2 linked regions of the Stegostoma tigrinum genome follow. The protein of the gene in region 1 interacts with the protein of each later gene in a pairwise test. Links are inferred from orthologs where the notes say so. Each region holds a gene or a part of one and is shown on either strand. Other genes may lie near its edges.

Region 1 (10,856 bases):
GGTAGCCGGCGTGCAACGGTTTCTCCACATTAAAAGAACTTTCACAGGGAGACCTTCCACACCCTCAGGATGAAATTTGGAACCTGAAATGTCAGGACACTTATGGCGAGTGCTGCCAGTGACAGACCAGAGTGCTGAGCTGCCACTGTTGCCCAGGAACTCAGGCACTACTATCCTGGCATTGCTGCCCTGAGTGATACCCCACAGGTATGGGAAGGACAGCTCAGGAAACAAGGTGATGGCTACACCTTTATCTGGAAAGGAAAAGCCAGAGAAAAGTACATCCCTAGAGTCAGTTTCGTTATCAAAAATGAACTGATGGACCAACACAAAGATTCGCCGGAATATGCAAATGCCTCATGTCACACTAACTCAGCCTAGCTCAGAGCCAGTACATCAAGATATTCAGTGCATATACAGCAACTGAGGACAAGGAGGAATTCCACTCCAGCCTTGACAACTCTCTCTCTCTCCCTCTCTCTCAGGTCCCCACAGCAGACAAACTAAATCGTCCTCAGTGATTTCAACACCAAAAGCAAAGAGCAGTCCTCTGGGACCTTGTAATTGGGGAAGTGGAGGTAAGCAAACAAAATCCCAATGGCACCCATCCCCCAACCAAATGCTGTGAACACATCTTCATCACCAACTTACTGTTCCACCAAAAGGACAAACAATAGCACCATGACTACATCATCATTAAAGCAAGCAATTGCAAAGACTTTAAAATCACCTACGCCGACAACTGTTGGCAGTCAATCACCAGATCCAAGCCAGAATCAACAAAAATATAGCCCGGCACGAAGTTTAACATTGAGGCACTCAAGATTTTGGAAAAGACAGCTTCATACAAATAACTCCCCTCACAAATTTAGTGATCCTTGGTGACACTGAGTTGTGGGATTCCAACAGCCTCTGGTCCCCCTCAAGGACACTATCATTAATGGCTGCAAGAACTCGACCAGTCACTGAACCAGGAAACATCAAGACTTGTTTGACAAGAATGAACAGGAGATTCAAGAATTTTCAAGCCAGAAGTACGGGGAATTTCTGTGTGTAAAACTGCAACTGCACGCCAAAGAAAAATGGGAGGCCGACAGGCGACCAAAGACTGGGGTCCAACAACAAATCTATAATATAAAAAACAGATGGAGGCCCAACAAATGGCTGACTACCATAATATGCAGGGTTTCTCCAGTGCTAGTATGAACACCTATCGACCAAGTACCCAAGACCCCAAACCCCTGCTGGCTGAGGAGTGAATCTTTTCAAAGACAAAGAAACCATCAAACAGCATGAGGGAAGCATGTCAAAGACCTCCTCAACCAAGGCTCTGTCATCAATCCAAGCAATCTTGACCACATCCCACAGCACGCTAGACAGCATGAGGTCAGCAACACTCCGGCTGCACATTAAGTATAGAAAGCCTTCCACAAGGTCAAGAACAACAATGCTGTTGGAGCAAATGGCATCCCCACTGAGGCACTGAAGTATAGAGACAATGACTTCCTGCTGCGGCTACACGCCTTTATCTGTCTGATCTGGAAAGAGGACAGCATCCCAGGATAACTCCAAAACGCCATAATCTTGAGCGATTTCCAAAAATGAAATAAGTGCGACTGTGTAATGACTGTGGTGCCGACAATCATTGGAAAAATCATCGCCAAGTTCCTCCCCTCAATCATTTCCTCCCTGCAGTAATGTTGCTTCTGGCCATGCAGGGACACAATGGACATGATTTTCACCCTGTGACAGCTGCATGAAAAATGCAGAGAAAAGAATCGACCCATGTACATGGCCTTCGACGCCTTCAACTAGGAAGAATTATGAAGCATCCTCTGCTTTGGCTACACACAAAGTTTGTCACCATTCTATGCCTATTCCACAACAGTGTGGAGGTTATGGTAGTGACAAATGGCTCCACTCCCCGATCCATTCCCTGTTCAATTCAGTACCAAGAGGCCTACATCACCCAAACACTGTTCTCAATCTACCTCACTGCAATGCTTTACCTCACCAAACTCTCCAATGGAGTGCAGCTAATCTACAGAACCAGCAGAAAATTATTCGACCTCCGCCACCTTCAAGCCAAAACCAAAATCACCACAGCTAGTGTCATCGAGCTATAGTACACAGATGATGCTTGCATATGTGCAAACTCAGAGGTCAAAGCCTAGACCGTCATCAGCACTTTGCAGAGGCATATGACAGCATGGGTCTCAGCGAACATCCAAACAATGAAGCTCCTCCAACAACCTGGCCCAGCATTGCTAAGTGAGCCCCTGATCACAGTTCATGGGGAGGCCTTAGAGAACACTGTCCACTTTCAACACCTCAGCAGCGTCCTGTCGACTAAAACAGTCATTGAATAAGAGATCCAGCACTGCCTCCATTGTGCTAGCACAGCATACAACTGCCTGAGGGAAAGGTGCTCCAGGACAACAACAGCAAAGGAGCATTTTTATCAGTTGACGGTGGGAGTGAAGGGACAAAGTCAACATAACAAAGTGTGAAGCTGGATGAACACAGCAGGCCAAGCAGCATCTCAGGAGCACAAAAGCCTAGACAAAGTCAACAGTTTTTTTCTGAAGAAACCTACTCACTTTGAATTCTAACGTTTTTCCTTTTTAAATTAACAATATGAATACTACAAAGAAATTTTAAAAAAGCCACATCTAACCAAGACCATTTTTTGATCATATTTATACGAGACAGAGGACTACAAAGAAAGTGAATAGACTTGCACAGATTTTTTGTTTGATTAAAACAAAGGCTTTCAGTGTTACAGTTCCCAATGGTAAAGGCCAATCTGAGGCTATGACTCCAAATTTAAAATTAAACCAATTTAAATGAAAGATTATACATATTTTGTCACCTCCAACTGTTCTTTAAACCACTAAGATTCATCCCAAAACCAAGGGTGCACAAGAAAACTATTGCCTTAAAGTCCATTGACACGTGAGAATCAACTTTTCCTGAAAAGGATCTTCCTCTCAATCCAAGTCAAAATGGAGTTTTGTCATGTTATTAATCAAAACATATACCATTTACTTGCTGGTATTTTAACATGAACTGTCATTCAAATGCAAAATGCAAGAGCCATTGCGTACTGAACATTTGGGGAATGACTAAAGTATATCTCTGTAATGTTTTCATGATTCAAAATGCAAAAACTTCCAAAACATCTGTTCTGCTGCGTAGTCCGTTCACAAAAATTTCAGTTCCAGTTCTCTCATAACTAGAGTCATACAGCGCAGAAACAGATCCTTTGGTCCAACCAATCCATGCTGTTCATAATTCCAAACTAAACTGGTCCTACCTGCCTTCCCTTGGCACACATCCTTCCAAACATTTCTTATTCAAGTACTTAACTAAATGTCTTTTAACGGTTGTAACCATACCCTCATCCACCACAAGTTCATTCCACACACAAAACCACCCTATGTAAAAATTGTCCTTCATGTCTGTTTTAAATTTTTCTCCACTCATCGTAAAAATATGCCCCTAGTCTTTAAATCCCTAGAAATTTAAATGCCCTTAGGGAAAAGACACCTGCCATTCTGTACCCATCATGATTTTATAAACCTCTATAAGGTCAACTCTCAACCTCCTATGCTCCCGTGAAGAGTCCCAGCCTCTCCCTGTAGCTCAAACCCTCCATCCTAGAATCCTGATAAATCTCTTCTGAATCTTCTCCAGCTAAATAATATCCTTCCTGTAACAGGGAGACCAGTAATGGACACAGTGCTCCTGAAGAGGCCTCACCAACATCCTGTTTAATCAACATACCTTCCTAACTCCTATATTCAAATCTGAGGCAATGAAGGAAAGCATGCTAAACGCCTTTTTAAACACCCTATATATGTGTGACGCAAACTTCAAAAAATTATGTACCTGAACACCTCAGTCTCCATTATACAACACTGTCCAAGATTCTATTTTTAATTCTGTTTGTTTTACCAAAATGCAATAGCTAGCATTTATCCAAATTAAACTTTATTTGCCATTAATGAAACAAAATATAGCAACTGCATTTGCACTCAAAACTAATAATATAAAACATGCATGAATTGGTAAGTTGGATTTCTGTTGAACCCACGGTTTAAAGCACCAACTGAAATCGTGAGATGTAGTTCAATCAAGGCACAGCACAGAACTGACAAGTACACGTTTTGATTTTTAAAAGTATAGATTTTAGCACCTAACCTTGATACAGCTATGATATATTTAATTTCAATTATCCCAAATGTTTCCATAGTTCAATTTAACAATGGAATAAATTTTAACAATGCAGAGATGGCATTACTTCATTCCCATGAATTTTTTTCAAAATGGCAGGCAATCACTTCTGAAAACAGTAAGCTTAAAACATTCGAACGTTAGAATAAATAATCAGTGTGACACAGAAAAAAAAACCCGTGAAAGAAACTCTGATTATCTTCTATTGAGAGAATGTACTGCACTCCAATACTACCCTAGATGTCCAATGCCATCCTATTACATTACAATTAAGACTCGCAGGCAGCCGGTTACATCTCTCAACATGACGTACACTTTTGATTCTAGATTGAGAAATTTCATAATAAACAAACCGGTTGTACCCGTCACTTTCCGTAGAAGTAAAATGCTTCTTATCTGTACGTAACCCAAGAGCTGAGTTATGTTTTTAAGACATAAACGATTAATATGCTACGTCCAATCTTTTGTTATTTAGTTGATGCCCGAATGCACTGACCTGCACCTGTTTGCGGAAGTGGAGCACCTTGGACGCTGCGCAATGCCAATAATGTCAGTAAGAGATTGCCGGCGTGTATCGCCATTCTCGGCTGGGATTGACTGCTCGTCGTCGTCAGGGTCTCGAAAGATCATCAATCTGAAGCATTTATACGAACAGACCGATTTGCCGTCAATACGAGCCGATGTCAACGTTCAACTCTTCCCCACTTCCCCGCCCGCCCTCCGTCCCTTTAAATACCAACAGCAGGCCGGCCGCCGCGCTCTCCCCTTCTGGAGCTTTTCTTTCGGATTTTTCGGCAGCAAACAGTCGCTGGAGTCGGACCACAGAAACTCATCCTTACTCACAGGCCTTGAACGCCTCTCCACACCGATTTTTCTCCCAGATCCCAGCCCCAATCCATTATTCTCGCGGTCGGTAACATTCCATTCATCTGTTTTGTCTGTGCGACGATGGTGGTTTTATTTTAATTTGCACTTTCGCTAGTGATACAACCTCCCACCTCCCGTCAATTTTCCCACAGCCGCCATCATGCCTGCTCGCGTCCGGAAACAGTCTGCTCCGCTCCTCCGCTGTGACTGACAACGCTCTCTGACCAATTGGACGCCTCTGTGACCTGGGAAGCGCAGCCAATCAACGATAGGGGCGGGAATTCCGGGCTGAAGGCTGTAATGGACGGACTCGTCCCCGGGAGTCTGCGTCATTCGCCTAGCAACCGCAGGAGACAAGCAGGGGCAGTTTGGGGCAGGCTCTTGGAGTGTGTTGCTAAGGACCTAGTAATTGAGTAACATCCTTCGAGGTCAGGACTGTTTCTCGACCTTATAATAGGTATTCACAATATGACTGCTGCCATCCCTTAACGTGACTCAATGTTAATTGGATCGAGGCGTTGAAAATTATATGACTGGCTTGATTTCCTCCTCACAGAGAACCTTACAATAAGTTTTTTTATATGCTAGTTCTTTGAATGGAATTAGCCCAACTTCCTCTGGTTTTACCACATAGCTTCACTGTTTTTTTTTCTTTTTAATTGTGCAATTCATAACAATTAGCTGCACTGTTTTGAAAAATCGTCCTTCTAATCTATCCATTGCTTTCTTAGCAATCTTAAATCTGCGCCATCACATGACTGAATCTCCAGTACCATACCATCTTCCAAACCCCTAGATCCTCATTTCTTTCCCTCTTTGCTCTATCTCAATTTCATCTTTGGGGCCTGCCTTATAAACAAACTCTTTGGTCAAACTTTGGTCATCTGTCGTAATATAACACAGTGCTACAATTTGTTTCATATGACCCAAGTAAAGCGCTCTGGTATGTTTTATATCATTACAGGCTGTATATAAATTTTAGTTGTTATCTATTCCATTAAAATCCTTCCTAATTTTCAACATTTCTTAAATTTCCCTTGCACCTACCTTGCCATAAGAAAAAACGTTATTTGTAATTTTTAATTAATTTTTAAAAGCATTCAGTGATTAGAACATAGAACATAGAACAGTACAGCACAGAACAGGCCCTTCAGCCCACAATGTTGTGCCGACCATTGATCCTCGTGTATGCACCCTCAAATTTCTGTGACCATATGCATGTCCAGCAGTCTCTTAAATGACCCCAATGACCTTGCTTCCACAACTGCTGCTGGCAACGCATTCCATGCTCTCACAACTCTCTGTGTAAAGAACCCACCTCTGACATCCCCTCTATACTTTCCACCAACCAGCTTAAAACTATGACCCCTCGTGCTAGCCATTTCTGCCCTGGGAAATAGTCTCTGGCTATCAACTCTATCTATGCCTCTCATTATCTTGTATACCTCAATTAGGTCCCCTCTCCTCCTCCTTTTCTCCAATGAAAAGAGACCGAGCTCAGTCAACCTCTCTTCATAAGATAAGCCCTCCAGTCCAGGCAGCATCCTGGTAAACCTCCTCTGAACCCTCTCCAAAGCATCCACATCTTTCCTATAATAGGGCGACCAGAACTGGAGGCAGTATTCCAAGTGCAGTCTAACCAAAGCCTTATAGAGCTGCAACAAGATCTCACGACTCTTAAACTCAATCCCCCTGTTAATGAAAGCCAAAACACCATATGCTTTCTTAACAACCCTGTCCACTTAGGTGGCCATTTTAAGGGATCTATGTATCTGCACACCAAGATCCCTCTGTTCCTCCATGCTGCCAAGAATCCTATCCTTAATCCTGTACTCAGCTTTCAAATTCGACCTTCCAAAATGCATCACCTCGCATTTATCCAGGTTGAACTCCATCTGCCACCTCTCAGCCCATCTCTGCATCCTGTCAATGTCCCGCTGCAGTCTACAACAGCCCTCTATACTGTCAACGACACCTCCGACCTTTGTGTCGTCTGCAAACTTGCTGACCCATCCTTCAATCCCCTCATCCAAGTCATTAATAAAAATTACAAACATTAGAGGCCCAAGGACAGAGCCCTGTGGAACCCCACTCACCACTGACTTCCAGGCAGAATATTTTCCTTCTACTACCACTCGCTGTCTTCTGTTGGCCAGCCAATTCTCTATCCAAGCAGCTAAGTTCCCCTGTATCCCATTCCTCCTGACCTTCTGAATGAGCCTACCATGGGGAACCTTATCAAATGCCTTACTGAAGTCCATATACACCACATCCACAGCTCGAACCTCATCAACTTTTCTAGTCACATCCTCAAAAAACTCGATAAGGTTTGTGAGGCATGACCTACCCCTCACAAAGCCGTGTTGACTGTATTTGATCAAGCCATGCTCCTCCAGATGGTCATAAATCCTATCCCTCAGAATCCTTTCTAACACCTTGCAGACGACAGACGTGAGACTTACTGGTCTGTAATTGCCGGGGATTTCCCTATTTCCTTTCTTGAAGAGCGGAATTACATTTGCCTCTCTCCAGTCCTCAGGTACGACTCCAGTGGAGAGAGAGGATGCAAAGATCTTCACAAGTGGTGAAGTAATTTCATTTCTCGCTTCCCAAAGCAGCCGAGGACAAATCTGGTCCGGGCCTGGCGACTTGTCAATCTTAATGTTTGACAAAATTTTCGGCACATCAGCTTCCTCTATCTCTATCCATTCTAGCATGCACACCTGCTCTTCAAAGGTTTCATTCACTACAAAGTTCGTTTCTTTCGTAAAGACAGAAGCAAAAAACTCATTAAGGGCTTCCCCTACCTCCTCAGACTCCACACACAAGTTCCCTATGCTATCCCTGATCGGCCCTACTCTTTCTTTGACCATTCTCTTATTCCTCACATAAGTGTAAAATGCCTTTGTGTTTTCCCTGATTCCTTCTGCCAAGCCTTTCTCGTGCCCCCTCCTGGCTCTCCTCAGACCTTTTTTGAGCTCCTTCCTTGCCTGCAAGTAATCCTCTCTAGCTGAACTTGACCCTAGCTTCCTCCACCTTATGTAAGCTACCTTCTTCCTTTTCACAAGAAGCTGCACCGCTCTCGTCATCCAAGGTTCCTTTATCTTACCCCTTCTTGCCTGTCTCAGAGGGACATATTTACTCATCACTCGCAACAACTGTTCCTTAAACAGTCTCCACATGTCTATAGTTCCCTTACCATGGAACAATTGCTCCCAGTCCGTGCTTCCTAACTCGTGTCTAATCGCGTCATAGTTTCCTCTTCCCCAATTAAATATCCTCCCATTTTGCCTAATCCTCTCCTTCTCCATAGCTATGTAGAATGTGAGGCAGTTATGGTCACTATCACCAAAATGCTCTCCCACCACAAGATCTGATACCTGCCCCGGCTCGTTTCCGAGCACCAAGTCTAGAATGGCCTCTCCCCTCGTCGGCCTGTCAACGTACTGCGTTAGGAAACCCTCCTGAACACACCTTACAAATACAGCTCCATTCAAATCTTCTGCTCGAAGCAGGTTCCAATCAATATTAGGAAAGTTAAAGTCACCCATTACAACAACCCTACTGCAACCACACTTTTCCAAAATCTGTCGACCTATGCTTTCTTCAATCTCCCTGCTGCTATTGGGGGGCCTGTAGTAAACCCCTAACGAGGTGACTGCTCCCTTGCTGTTCCTAATTTCCACCCAGACTGACTCAGTAGGCAGATCTTCCTCGACAATGGAAGCTTCTGTAGCTGTGATACCCTCTCTGATTAGTAGTGCTACACCCCCTCCTCTTTTTCCCCCCTCCCTATTCTTTTTAAATGTTCTAAACCCTGGAACATCCAGCAACCATTCCTGCCCATGAGAAACCCATGTCTCTGTTATGGCCACAACATCATAGCACCAGGTACTGATCCATGCTCTAAGTTCATCACTTTTATTCCTGATACTCCTCGCGTTAAAGCAAACACACTTTAACTGATCCCTTGGTTCCTTCCCAGGAAAATCCTTCCCACTAGCTGGTCTACCTCTTGCTACTGCCTCACCTGCATCAACTCTCACCTCCGGTATACAGCTCAGGTTCCCACCCATCTTTCTAAGAAACTTAAATTTATGTATTTATAAAATTAATGCAATAGAAACATCCTGCAATAGAACTGTTGTTAAGACTGAATTTCAGGTTAAGGATAATTAAATTTTAAACCTATTAGTGTCTCATGGGTTTGCCAACATCAACAAAATGCTTCATGTGAGATTCATAATTATGGACTAATAAACCAGTTGATTTCTAACAGGGCCAAGCATCAATATAAGCTGTTTGAAAGTCAAATTCAGTCACTGTCACACAGTAGTGATTGACCTATATCTATTTTAATGGAGCAATTTGGCTTGAAGGATACTCCAATGAAGATAATGATACCTTGGCTGCCCTCTAACATAACGTTGCTATGTTTAGATTGAAATATGTTTACAAGTTTTCACAATGGATATTTGGAAAACTTTGCCATCAAGAAATTTTGGTCGTCACCTTACCCTTTTCTGCTTTAAAATGCTCCTCGATATCTATCTGTTTCACCAAGCCGATGATTGCTAGTGCTAATATGTGCTTTTGTTGGCTTTGTATCCATTTGGCAGGATTAGGCTTTGGGGTGTGGTGGTGTTCTATTATGTTAAAGCTGCAACACAGATGCAAGATCTCATTGTTAGTCACATCAGTTAGGAAGATTCCAAGTTTTTAAATCACTGTCTTTGAGTTAGTTGATTACATGCAGAGCAACTGCAGAAGTACTGCATTGGTTTAAGTAGTCTGGGCTTTACACAGAGGTGAATCATTCATGCTTCCCAGCCCTCATTTCTATCTGACCTTGCTGAAAACAGTACGTTTGTGATCATCAGAATGATAAGATTGGTCCGATAGTCACCACAGTACTATATAGTGTTAGATATGAATTATGAGTACTTCAAGCGAGGATGGCGTTAGAGGGCCATGGAACTCCGTCAGTTCCTTCTTTGTAATTGTAAAAGCACTGGAAACAAAACTTAACATATTCACAATAAAGATAACAAAGTGTGAAGCTGGATGAACACAGCAGGCCAAACAGCATCTCAGGAGCACAAAAGCTGACATTTCGGGCCTAGACCCTTCATCGGAGAGGGGAATGGGGAGAGGGTTCTGAAATAAATAGGGAGAGAGACGGATGGAGGAGAAGATAGGTGGAGAGGAGAGTATAGGTGGGGAGGTGGGGAGGGGATAGGTCAGTCCACGGAGGATGGACAGATCAAGGAGGCGGGATGAGGTTAGCAGGTGGGAAATGGAGGTGCGGCATAAGGTGGGAGGAGGGGATAGGTGAGAGGAAACACAGGTTAGGGAGGAGTAGACGAGCTGGGCTGGTTTTGGGATGCAGTGGGGGGAGGGGACAAGCTGGGCTGGTTTAGGGATGCAGTGGGGGAGGGGGAGATTTTGAAGCTTGTGAAGTCCACATTGATGCAATTGGGCTGCAGGGTTCCCAAGCAGAATATGAGTTGCTGTTCCTGCAACCTTCGGGTGGCATCATTGTGGCACTGCAGGAGGCCCAGGATGGACATGTCATCTAAAGAATGGGAGGGGGAGTTAAAATGGTTCACGACTGGGAGCTGCAGTTGTTTATTGCGAACAAAGCGGAGGTGTTCTGCAAAGCGGTCCCCAAGCCTCCGCTTGGTTTTTCTGCAAAGCAGTCCCCAAGCCTCCGCTATAAAGCTAGGGTGTTGATCTGCAACCTGATTTGTAAC
Region 2 (10,997 bases), on another chromosome or scaffold:
CATGAATTAAGCCACAGTCTTCCTAAACCAGATAATCTTGTGGCGTTGGTAAAACTACCAGTTTAGTGACAATTAGAGCTCTTCAACCACACCCAGTAAAACATCTCATACAGACTAATACCACATCCACATTGGTCTTTAAGTCAGGTTCCGGAATCCCTTGGTTCACAAACCAGATTCTGCACTTATGCTTCTAAATCTGGTTTCTAAGATGCTAACAAGTCTGCCACCACTCAACTCATGGCAGGTTTAACAGCTACAAGCAAGCAGAGATGGCTCGCACAAAGAATGGTTCCCAGGACATAAAACCAAGAATTTTTCTTTTCTAAAATATAGAAAACAGAAAGAGTTCTTGCAAAGAGTTGGCAAGAACTGCCAATGCCGGAGTCAGAGATAACACAATGTGGAGCTGGAAGAACACAGGCCAGGCAGCAGAGTAGTAGGAAAGCTGACATTTTGAGTCAGGAACCCTTCTTCAGAAACCTACTTTTGAACCCAGATCAGGCAAATTAAAAGCTACCCAAATCCATCACTATGCTTAATCTTGTTTTAGTTTCTTTTTTGTTCATTTTGCAAAAAAAGGAGAAAAAGTAAAATGTCATGATTAGTGCATACAACACAAAAGCATCATGCAATCACTAGAGTCAGTGCCTGGGACTCCAGGTGCATTGTAAAGGCCAACTCTGATTGTTCAAAAGATAACCTAAAAAATAAAGGAAATATTTCTCAGAGTTATTTTATTTTCCTGAAAGAGAACTCAAAAGATACTCCTCATAACATGCTCCAACACAGAAAACCAATAGAGACAAAATAAATCACTTCATTATATTTTGTCTGTCCACCAAGTATTACTTGATAGCTCAGGGTAACTGCAGCATTTCTACATATAATGTTGCAATTGCAAACTATAATTCCAAGTATAAGTCTATTACACTCTGAATAAGGACAGATATATTATAAAGTTTGAATGTTTCCAAAGTTTTTGCCCTTTTGAAACATGTAAATGTTTATACATTTACATTAAAGTCATGATCACAATACTTAAGATGACAAGGTGCAGAGCTGGATGAACACAGCAGGCCAAGCAGCAGAGGAGCAGGAAAGCTGATGTTTCAGGCCTAGACCCTTCTTCAGAAATGCATTTATTTCATAATATTTATTTTGGGATTGCTATACATTACATGGAAATACTACAGCCAGCACTCCCTGTAGAAGGAAAAATGGACACCACAGTGTGGTGTGTCTATCTCAATCATCTATTTGCAATGAATTTGCCACACCAATGCTTTCTATGGTAAACCAAAACGAGGAGCATCCTCTGAAATTTTGTTGCTGTGGCTACAGTTAAACAAAGAGGAGAGGATTTTTTTTGGTACCAGTGCCCTCCCAAATTAATCAAGCCCCATGTTATACTTGAGGTACAAATCAGCATGAAGGTCTAAGTGATTGAAGCAAGGTGGATGGAGAGCACTACCTTCATTGTTCTTGTTTCAGGTCAGCGATTACAGAATGAGGCTGTATTACAACAGAATCAGTGTTAAATATATTCATCTTTACTCCAGGTATAGTGTGATTAACAGTATGCTAGCCATGGTTCAATTACTGGCATTCTTACTTCTGGGTTTAAACAAAAATTGTAGATTCAAGACTCATTTTACTAGTCAATAGAAAACAGCTTAAAAAAAAGTGTCAAAAAAAAAACCAACTTCAGGAAACAGTCCAGACTGGCATTCAGCACAGGGAGATACGTCTTTCAGTTGAGACTTCAAGCCTAAAATGCACTTTCCCTTCCAGAGTAATGTAAAGGAATCCATGGCATTAATCAAACAGCAGAAGAGTTCTCCCCAGTGACATAGCGAGCATTTATCCCTTATTTATTTAAAATACATTGAGAGAATTTGTGCATAAATTGGATGCAATGATACAACATTAATGCACAAAAGGCAAAAGTGCAAATCTTTTGTGCGCACCATGAATTGTGTGCAGGTTAACTCAATTAATTATTCCAATTAACGGAGAACAAGATTTTGCTACTTTGGGGTGAGAATACAAGTTTTAGCCATGCGTTGAGACTGTGATTTGCACCATCCTCAGATCAGCCATGTTATTGATGTGAACAAATAGACAGAAAAAATATAGAAAATTGGATAATATCACATTACAATGGTCTTTATTAATTATTTTAGACGCAATTCAAATATACACATTAACCTCATGTTACAAAGTCTGCAATACAACACAAGCTTTTAAGAATGAAATATCAGAGTGTCACACTTCAAGTGGATGGATTCAAATTTTTTAGTTCTTCATTTCTTTCATTCTGATGAACAGAACAACAGGTATTTAGATTGGTACTACTAGGACTTAAAAACACTATATATATTTTTTAGAATGGGCAGCAGTGAAATCTCTCACATCATGAACCAATTTAAAATGTATTCTAATCACTTATTAGTAAGCAGGCAATCTTCTTTTTGTGAATTATAGAAAATCATTAGCCTTCAAATCTCCATGACAGCAGCGACCAGACTGCATCATCTATTAAATAACATAACATCAATTCTATTATTTGAACATATTCAAACATTCAACTACTTTATTTATAAGTTGAATCTTACTTGTGTCACCTCGCTAAACCTAAACATTTTCTAATCATGTACACATGACATGACATCTGCAGTCATTCCGTGATATCATTCCTTTCATTTTCCCATTCCAAATCAACGTCTCAATTTATCAACAAATCATCTATTATTTTAATGCATCAGTGCATGCCTCAATGAAACTGGAAGGCTTGTGGAAGAACCTGTGTGTTAAAGTCTTCCAGTTCAAAAAGGCACGCATAAATGAACCGTTGATGTTACCTTCTTTTAACCTTACATCAAATACTTATTTTCAATTGAAAACAGTGCACAGTACATCCTTCTGCAGATTCCACCTCTTATCTTGTGTAAAAGGTTTGCACTGGTTATTTTACAGCTGTTCAGAGACGTGTTCACTAAAGTAGTGAGGTATTTATAAAATATCCTTTGATTTTATATTATAGGCAGCACAATTTAGTTGTTTCAACTAGTACCACTAAACCACCTTTAGAATCCATACACCTTAGTTGAACAAAATAATCACAATTGTGACCATATTCTATTTCAATATTTACATAATATAATTTACACAAAATAATATACTGCTCTGGAAAAGTAACAGCAATTTATCATACTATGATATTTAATCCAAGTCAAACAAAAACTGCTCACAACCAGAGATATGAAAGTTGGTCAATCAGTTCCTGACGCCAGATTATTTAATGTAGATTTAACATTTACTCCATAAGTGATGCACAAATTAGTTATTTACAAAGATAAACAAATCCAATCACATTATTTGCTGCTTCAAACAAAACCTGTTAAAAACAGGTATCAGGGAGGGATTGAGCACGTTAGAATTTCCTCAAACCAGAAAACAAAGCTCCATTTTCCCTTGCAGTTCTGTGTGGTACCTACTCTTCGTAAACCTTCGCCGACTGAGGATAACCCAAAACTAAAACAAGCTAGATATCAGAAACAGGACCCTCGCCACAGGAAACTATATAAATGGTTAATAACGTTAAACTTAAAAACTTTTGGAGAATCCCTCAAAGCACGGACTAAAATAGCATTTCATCAGGAACGATTAATAGCTAGGAGGACAAGAAAACATTCACCAATCACGCAGAATTTTGATAGGTCAACCATATGAGAAAAGACGTTTAAAATGTTGTCGTCTCACACTCCCGGTAGTACAAATTGATTACGATACGCACAGAGAACAGCAATCTCACTAGAAATATCGATGTTGATCAAACAGTATCTTGTTTGATAAAACGGAAGAACTGCGGACGCTGTAAATTGGGGCCCAAATAAAGTTGCTGGAAAAGCTCAGCAAGTCTGGCAACATCTGTGAAGAAAAGTCAGAGTTAATATTTCAGGTCTGATCTCATATTTCTCAGGAAGTAACCGGACCCGAAACTTTAACTCTGATTTGTCTTAACAGATATTGCCAGACCTGAGTTTTTCCAGCAACTTATTTTCGTTCGATATTTTGCGTGAAGCTGTTTTGATAAGGAAGCAGCGTATTTATTGTAAGCGCGAAGGGAGAAAAACAACATTTTCGCTTGGTCCATTAATCTACTGTCTGTTCAACTTAGACGCCACCATTCGGAAATGGGGCTGTGCGGATCAACAGAGATTTAAACAAGGGCAGTACAAGCGAATAAGAAAACAACCAGCTTAAAGGCGAAACTATTCGAAATATCGAAACGATAATACCCAGTCGAAATCGAAAGCGATTTAAATATAAAGACATTCAGGAATGGAAGCAGCTGCTGGTCATTCAACAACCAGAAAACAACCGGGAAACAACCAGACAGGATTCCCACCTAGCCATTTTCCGGGGGAATCTCTAGTTTCCTGCACGAAACAGGATACAGTCCGAAAAGGGCTCCGGGAGAGGTCATAAAAACAAACTCAGCTCACAGCTCTCTTCGGGACTCGAGCAGCCCGAATCCATAAGTAGTTCGGAATCGACATAACTCCCTACCTCCTTCCTTTCACTGAGAGAATGGGCCGGGAACACTCAAACAGGGAAAGGACTCTCTACAAACCCCAAACCCCCACTTTTTCCTCCATCCCGCTCCACCCGGGTATGGAAAAGACTCTTCATCCAAACTAGTTCCAGTTGAGCGGTGGATCCGGTCGTGGCGTCCTTTCCACAACATCTTACCATGGAGACCAGGCCCCTGGTACCCTAAACCCTTCAACCTCACCCACTTTCACTCCTAAAACACCTACCCACAATCACTGCACAGTTTTCCCCATTCGCTGTCAACACGCCCGACCCTCTTACTCATTTAACCTCAGTCGCCCCCCGACTCTTACCGTCAACTGTTTACCAGTGCCGTTGCAGAAAGTCTGTTTCCCCTCGATAGCCACAGGACTCGTCCTGGTGCTCCTCCCCTTTGTTCCCGCTGCGTCTCCAGATCCTGCTCAGTCCTAACGCTCCTCCCCCTGCGCGGCTCCCGGTGCTCCGCCTCTTTCTCTACCCCCGCCCATACCCGCTGTGTGGCTAGATCCTGCCCCCAGCCCTAGTGCTTGCTCCTCCTAGTGTGGATCTTCGTGCTCCATACTCCCCCCGACACACCCACCCACCTGTGCCCGGTGTGGGTGCCGATATTCCTGTTCTCCGTCCCTGTGGTCCTGGTGATCCGATGTTCGTGGCCCTGGGACGATCAACGTCACGGTGATGGCCCTCAGAGACGGAGAGGCCCCCAGTAACACAATGAACACGGTCAGTGAGAACACATGATATGCACGGTCTGTCAGATACTGCAGAGAACAGCGCCTTTCATCGTAAGGGCATCCCAAAGACTTTCACAATTAACTTTTCAAAAATAATCCCGCTCATAGCGAGTTCACTGTGCCTGCCCACTGTCTACAATCCTCTAGTCAGGAATGTGATATTGGATGGGTGCAGCTGCAACATCACTCGAAGCTCAACACTATTCAGGACAAGATAATAAAATGTGAGGCTGGATGAACACAGCAGGCCAAGCAGCATCTCAGGAGCACAAAAGCTGACGTTTCGGGCCCCAAGATGACATTCCACATTAAGCAGAGGTTCACCTGCACATCTGCCAATGTGGTATACTGCATCCACTGTACCCGGTGCGGCTTTCTCTACATTGGGGAAACCAAGCGGAGGCTTGGGGACCGCTTTGCAGAACATCTCCGCTCAGTTCGCAACAAACAACTGCACCTCCCAGTCGCAAACCATTTCCACTCCCCCTCCCATTCTCTAGATGACATGTCCATCATGGGCCTCCTGCACTGCCACAATGATGCCACCCGAAGGTTGCAGGAACAGCAACTCATATTCCGCCTGGGAACCCTGCAGCCATATGGTATCAATGTGGACTTCACCAGTTTCAAAATCTCCCCTTCCCCTACTGCATCCCTAAACCAGCCCAGTTCGTCCCCTCCCCCCACTGCACCACACAACCAGCCCAGCTCTTCCCCCCCACCCACTGCATCCCAAAACCAGTCCAACCTGTCTCTGCCTCCCTAACCGGTTCTTCCTCTCAACCATCCCTTCCTCCCACCCCAAGCCGCACCCCCAGCTACCTACTAACCTCATCCCACCTCCTTGACCTATCCCCTCCCTACCTCCCCACCTATACTCTCTCCACCTATCTTCTTTACTCTCCATCTTCGGTCCGCCTCCCCCTCTCTCCCTATTTATTCCAGTTCCCTCTCCCCATCCCCCTCTCTGATGAAGGGTCTAGGCCCGAAACGTCAGCTTTTGTGCTCCTGAGATGCTGCTTGGCCTGCTGTGTTCATCCAGCCTCACATTTTATTATCTTGGAATTCTCCAGCATCTGCAGTTCCCATTATCTCTGATACTATTCAGGACAAAACAGCTTGCTTGTTCAACACAACATTCACCATCTTAAAAATTCACTTGCTGAACCGTCAACAAACAATGGCTGAACCATCAACAAACAATGGCAGCAGTGAGTACCATCTACGAGATATATCGCAGAACATTAACCAAGTTTCCTTCAATCCATCTTCCGAACAGATAACCTCAGCCACCTAGAAGGAACGGAAAAGCAAATGCCTGGGAACACCAGCACCTGCAAATTTTCCCCTAAGACATGCCGTTCTGACTTGAGATATCTCACCATTCCTTCACTGCTGCTGGCTCAAAATCCAAGAACACCATTCCTAATACCTGCAACAGATAGACTGCAGCCATTTAAACAGGCCGCTGATTAAGTCAAGTAATTAGAGATGGGCACAAAATTCTAGCCTAGCTAGTGGTGTAACATACACTTAGTGCGTAGAAATATTCTTCAAACAACACTGAAATTAGGATCAGATAAGGATGAAAGACATAGAAGCATTTGGGACATTGTGTTCACTTTGCCATTCAATCAGATCATGGCTGATCTGATAATCCTCAACTCTATTTTCCGGCTTCATTACCATGATCTTTGATTTCCTGACTGGTGAAAAATATGCCTGCCTTAGCCTTAAATATGTTTAAAGACCCAGCTTCGACAGCCCTTTGTGGTGTAAAGAACTCCCTGGAGTGATTACCCTCAGAGAAAAAGTTCTCCTCATCTCTAATTTAAATGGCAACCTCTTATCCTGAGATTATGCCCTCTAGCCCTGGATTGTCTCATGAGGGAAACTATCCTTCAAGATCCCATAATCCTATATGTTTCAATAAGGTCTCTTCTTCTAAAGCCCAGTGAGTACAAGTTCGACTTACTTAACCTCTTGTCGTAAAAAAGACCCTCAATACCCAGAATTAACCTAGTGAACCTTCTCTGGACTGTCTCCAATTATTGTATCTCGCGTCTTTAATAAGTGGACCAAAAATGATCACAGTATTCCAGATGTGGCCTGAACAGTGCCTTATATGGTTTTAGAAAGACCTCTCTATTTTTAGAATAAAGAACTGCAAATGCTGGAGACCTGAAACAAAAGTAGGAAGTAATGGAGAACTCTGACAAAGGGTCACTGGATTCAATTCTGATATTCTCTCCACAGATGATGCCAGACCTATTGAGTTTCTCCAGCATTTTCTGTTTTTGTTCTCTATTTTACATGCCATTCCCTTAGAAATAAAGCCAATAGTGAATTTGCATTCTCTTTTACCAACTGAACAAATGAGTTAGCTTTTTGTGATTCATGTCCAAGGACTCCAAATCCGTCTGTTCTGCACGCTCTGCAGTCTTTCCCTATTAAATAAAATTCAGCCCTGTTCTTCCTCCTGCGAAAATGGATAATCTGCAATCATGTTCCATTTCCAAATTTTGGCTCACTCACTTAAATTGTGGGCTCATTGTGTCATCCTCACTACTTGCCTTCTCACCTATTTTATGTCATGTACAAACTTGGCAATAATACATTTACTTCCTTCTTCCAAATCATATACATATAAATAATTGTGGCCTTAGCACTATTCCCTTTGGCACTCCAGTTGTCACAGGTTGCCATCCTGAAAATGCTCCTTTTATCCCAAATCTGTCTTCAATAGTTAACCAATTCACTATCAATACTAACACATTACTCCCATCACAATGAGCTCATCTTATTAAGTAGCCTTATGTGTGATACCTTATTAAATGATAATCTGTTTCATTCATGTTAGTTGATGGATAAATATTTTCCAAGAATTCCAGGAGAGATTTCCTTTGGTTCGTCAAAGTGGTATCATGGGAGTTTTACCCATGATGGCAGTTGGGGCCTTGGTTTAACATCGCAGCAGTTAGGCTACACAGCACTCCTTCAATACAGTATTTGTGTATTGAACAGTATTTTGCACTCAAGTCCGTGGAGTGGAACTTAAACCTTAACCTTCTGATTCAGAAACAACAGAGAGCTACATTGAGCTTCAATTTGTAACACTCAAAATAGTACTATGTATCCTGTATCACTGCCACTAGTGTGATGATACTATGGCTTTAAGAGGTACATTTTGTCCTTTTTGTTTTGAAGACATGTTTTAAGACAGAGGTATCAAGCTGTCTGTTTGAATCCAATAAATTAAACAGCTTGTGAGGCACTTTTTTTAAGTTGGAACAATAAAAGCAGCCTGAATGGCTGGGGTCAAGCTTCCACAGAACCAGGATTTTTAGTTTTAGCTTGTAGCAGTTGCTGGGGTCTTGAAGTTGGGTTTGGAAGCTGCAGTACATCTCTCCCTGCAACTTGGTCTCTCTCTCTCTCTCTTAGGGTTTTGTCTTGATGATTTTCCTGCTGGATTAGAGAATTGCATGTGAGACAATCTATTTTACTGAATTTTCCTTTGCTAAGAGTGTGTTTATGAGATGTTACTATGTTGAAACAGTCACTGTTTCGTAGTTAAATAATCTATTATTCTGTTAAGTTTTCCAGCATAATTACGTTATTTCAATTTTTTTCTTCCTTTGGTAGTATATTAATTACAGTGTATAAATGAAATGTGTTTTGCTTCAAGACTAGAAGTTTGACCAATCGAATTAGATCTGTAACACAATACCTGGTACTTGAAATAAGAAAAAGTTATGGTCTAGGCTATCGTCTTAATATATCTTGAAGGGCTTTAGTCTGATCCATAACACTGGGAATGATGCACCACATGCTCTACCTCTGACAGCAATTCATTAGTAAATGTAGGCAAACCTGAACATCCTCCAGGATTGTGCTAATACATTCTAGATTCATTTTCATTTTAAAGGTACAATGCAAGTAACATTTGCATCACATTGTTGCCAGGTAATGGCCAACTTCAACAAAAAATCTAATCCATCTCTCCATGATCTATAATCTTATTATCACAGTGTCCCTCCCCATCAATATCCTGTAATTACCACTGACCTAAACTCAACTGGACCAATGAATAAATGCTGTGGCCACAAGAACCAGTGGACATTATGCAAAAACAGGTTCATCTCCTGACTCCTCAAAACATTTCTACTATCTGCAAAGAAAAAGGAAAGAATGAGGTAAAATATATTTCACAAGATGAATGACATTGCAACAATATCCAGGAAACACAACACTGTTTAGGGCAAAGCAGTCATCCGTGGCTGGCACATCCATTATTTAAATGTTCACTCAATGTGCACACACACAGCCCCCCACACTCCAATCTCTCTGGGCACTCTGGTTTCAGTGTCATTTACAAGATACACAACAACAACTCACCATGGCACTTCCCACAGAACCAGCCAATCTCATGAGATTTATTATCTGGAAGGAAAGTGACAGCAAAAGCAGTGGAATACAACTACTTACAAGTGTTTTTCTAATCATCCTGATTCAGAAATACTTTGTTATTATTTAATCATTGTCTAGTAAAATTTCTTAAAGTACAACACTTGTACCAGGCCAGGCAGCATCAGAGGAGCAGGAAAGCTGATGTTTTGGGTCTGGACCCTTCTTAAGAAAACACTTATAGCACTGTGTAAGTACCTTCACCTCATGGACTGCAATAATTCAAGAAGGCAGCTTGCCATTTCCATCTCAAAAACAACTAGGAATGAGCAACAAATATTGGTTTTGTTAACAATGCTCACACTGATGAATGTCAACAGAAGTGATGTAATACATCCATTGTATCACCACTGCAAATGTTGTATTACATCTTAAAAGCACTGGGAATGTGAGAACCCTTATGTCGAGCAATGCCTATAATTTCTTTTGTGAGGTGTACCTTTAAGACTAAAATTAATCAAGAGTGTATGCTGAAAGATTATTAATTTGTTAGGATGAGTTTCCAATAAATGTCCATGACCTGTGGTTGCTATGGGGATGAACAGCTAAGAAGCAAACGGTTAAAAGAAGTAAATTGCAGTGGATAATAAAGTGTGAAGCTGGATGAACACAGCAGGCCAAGCAGCATCTCAGGAGCACAAAAGCTGACGTTTCGGGCCTAGACCCTTCATCAGAGAGGGGGATGGGGTGAGGGTTCTGGAATAAATAGGGAGACAGGGGGAGGCGGACCGAAGATGGAGAGAAAAGAAGATAGGTGGAGAGTAGAGTATAGGTGGGGAGGTAGGGAGGGGATAGGTCAGTCTGATCCCCAGTTCTGCATAAGGGTCACTGGACCTGAAATCTTGTTTTTGTTCCTGATTCCCAAAGTCTTTTATTCATATATAAAGAGCAAGAGGGTAACTAGAGAAAGGATTGGCCCACTTAAGGACAAAGAAGGAAAGTTATGCACTGAGTCAGAGAAAATGGGTGACATTCTTAACAAGTACTTTGCATCGGTATTCGCCAAGGAGAGGGACATGACAGATGTTGAGGTTAGATATCGATGTTTGCTTAGTCTAGGTCAAACAAGTAATCACACATTAAGCAAAATGTGACAAGAAAGGGAGATTAAGACCATAAGACCATAAGACATAGGAGTGGAAGTAAGGCCATTCGGCCCATCAAGTCCACTCCGCCATTTAAATCATGGCTGATGAGCAT

Evidence for each region.
Region 2: the proteins of lmtk2 (region 1) and unconventional myosin-VI interact in a two-hybrid assay, tested with the Homo sapiens proteins (2 studies listed by BioGRID). The link is inferred for Stegostoma tigrinum from reciprocal best matches to the Homo sapiens genes LMTK2 and MYO6.

The regions. Positions count from the first base shown.
Region 1 is NC_081376.1:35,092,832-35,103,687, reverse strand, and holds the start of lmtk2 (serine/threonine-protein kinase LMTK2), read right to left. Parts: upstream 4,941-10,856; 5' UTR 4,818-4,940; coding exon 4,733-4,817; intron 1-4,732. UniProt on the Homo sapiens protein: Phosphorylates PPP1C, phosphorylase b and CFTR.
Region 2 is NC_081362.1:28,015,915-28,026,911, reverse strand, and holds the start of unconventional myosin-VI, read right to left. Parts: upstream 5,042-10,997; 5' UTR 4,914-5,041; intron 1-4,913. UniProt on the Homo sapiens protein: Myosins are actin-based motor molecules with ATPase activity. Unconventional myosins serve in intracellular movements. Myosin 6 is a reverse-direction motor protein that moves towards the minus-end of actin filaments.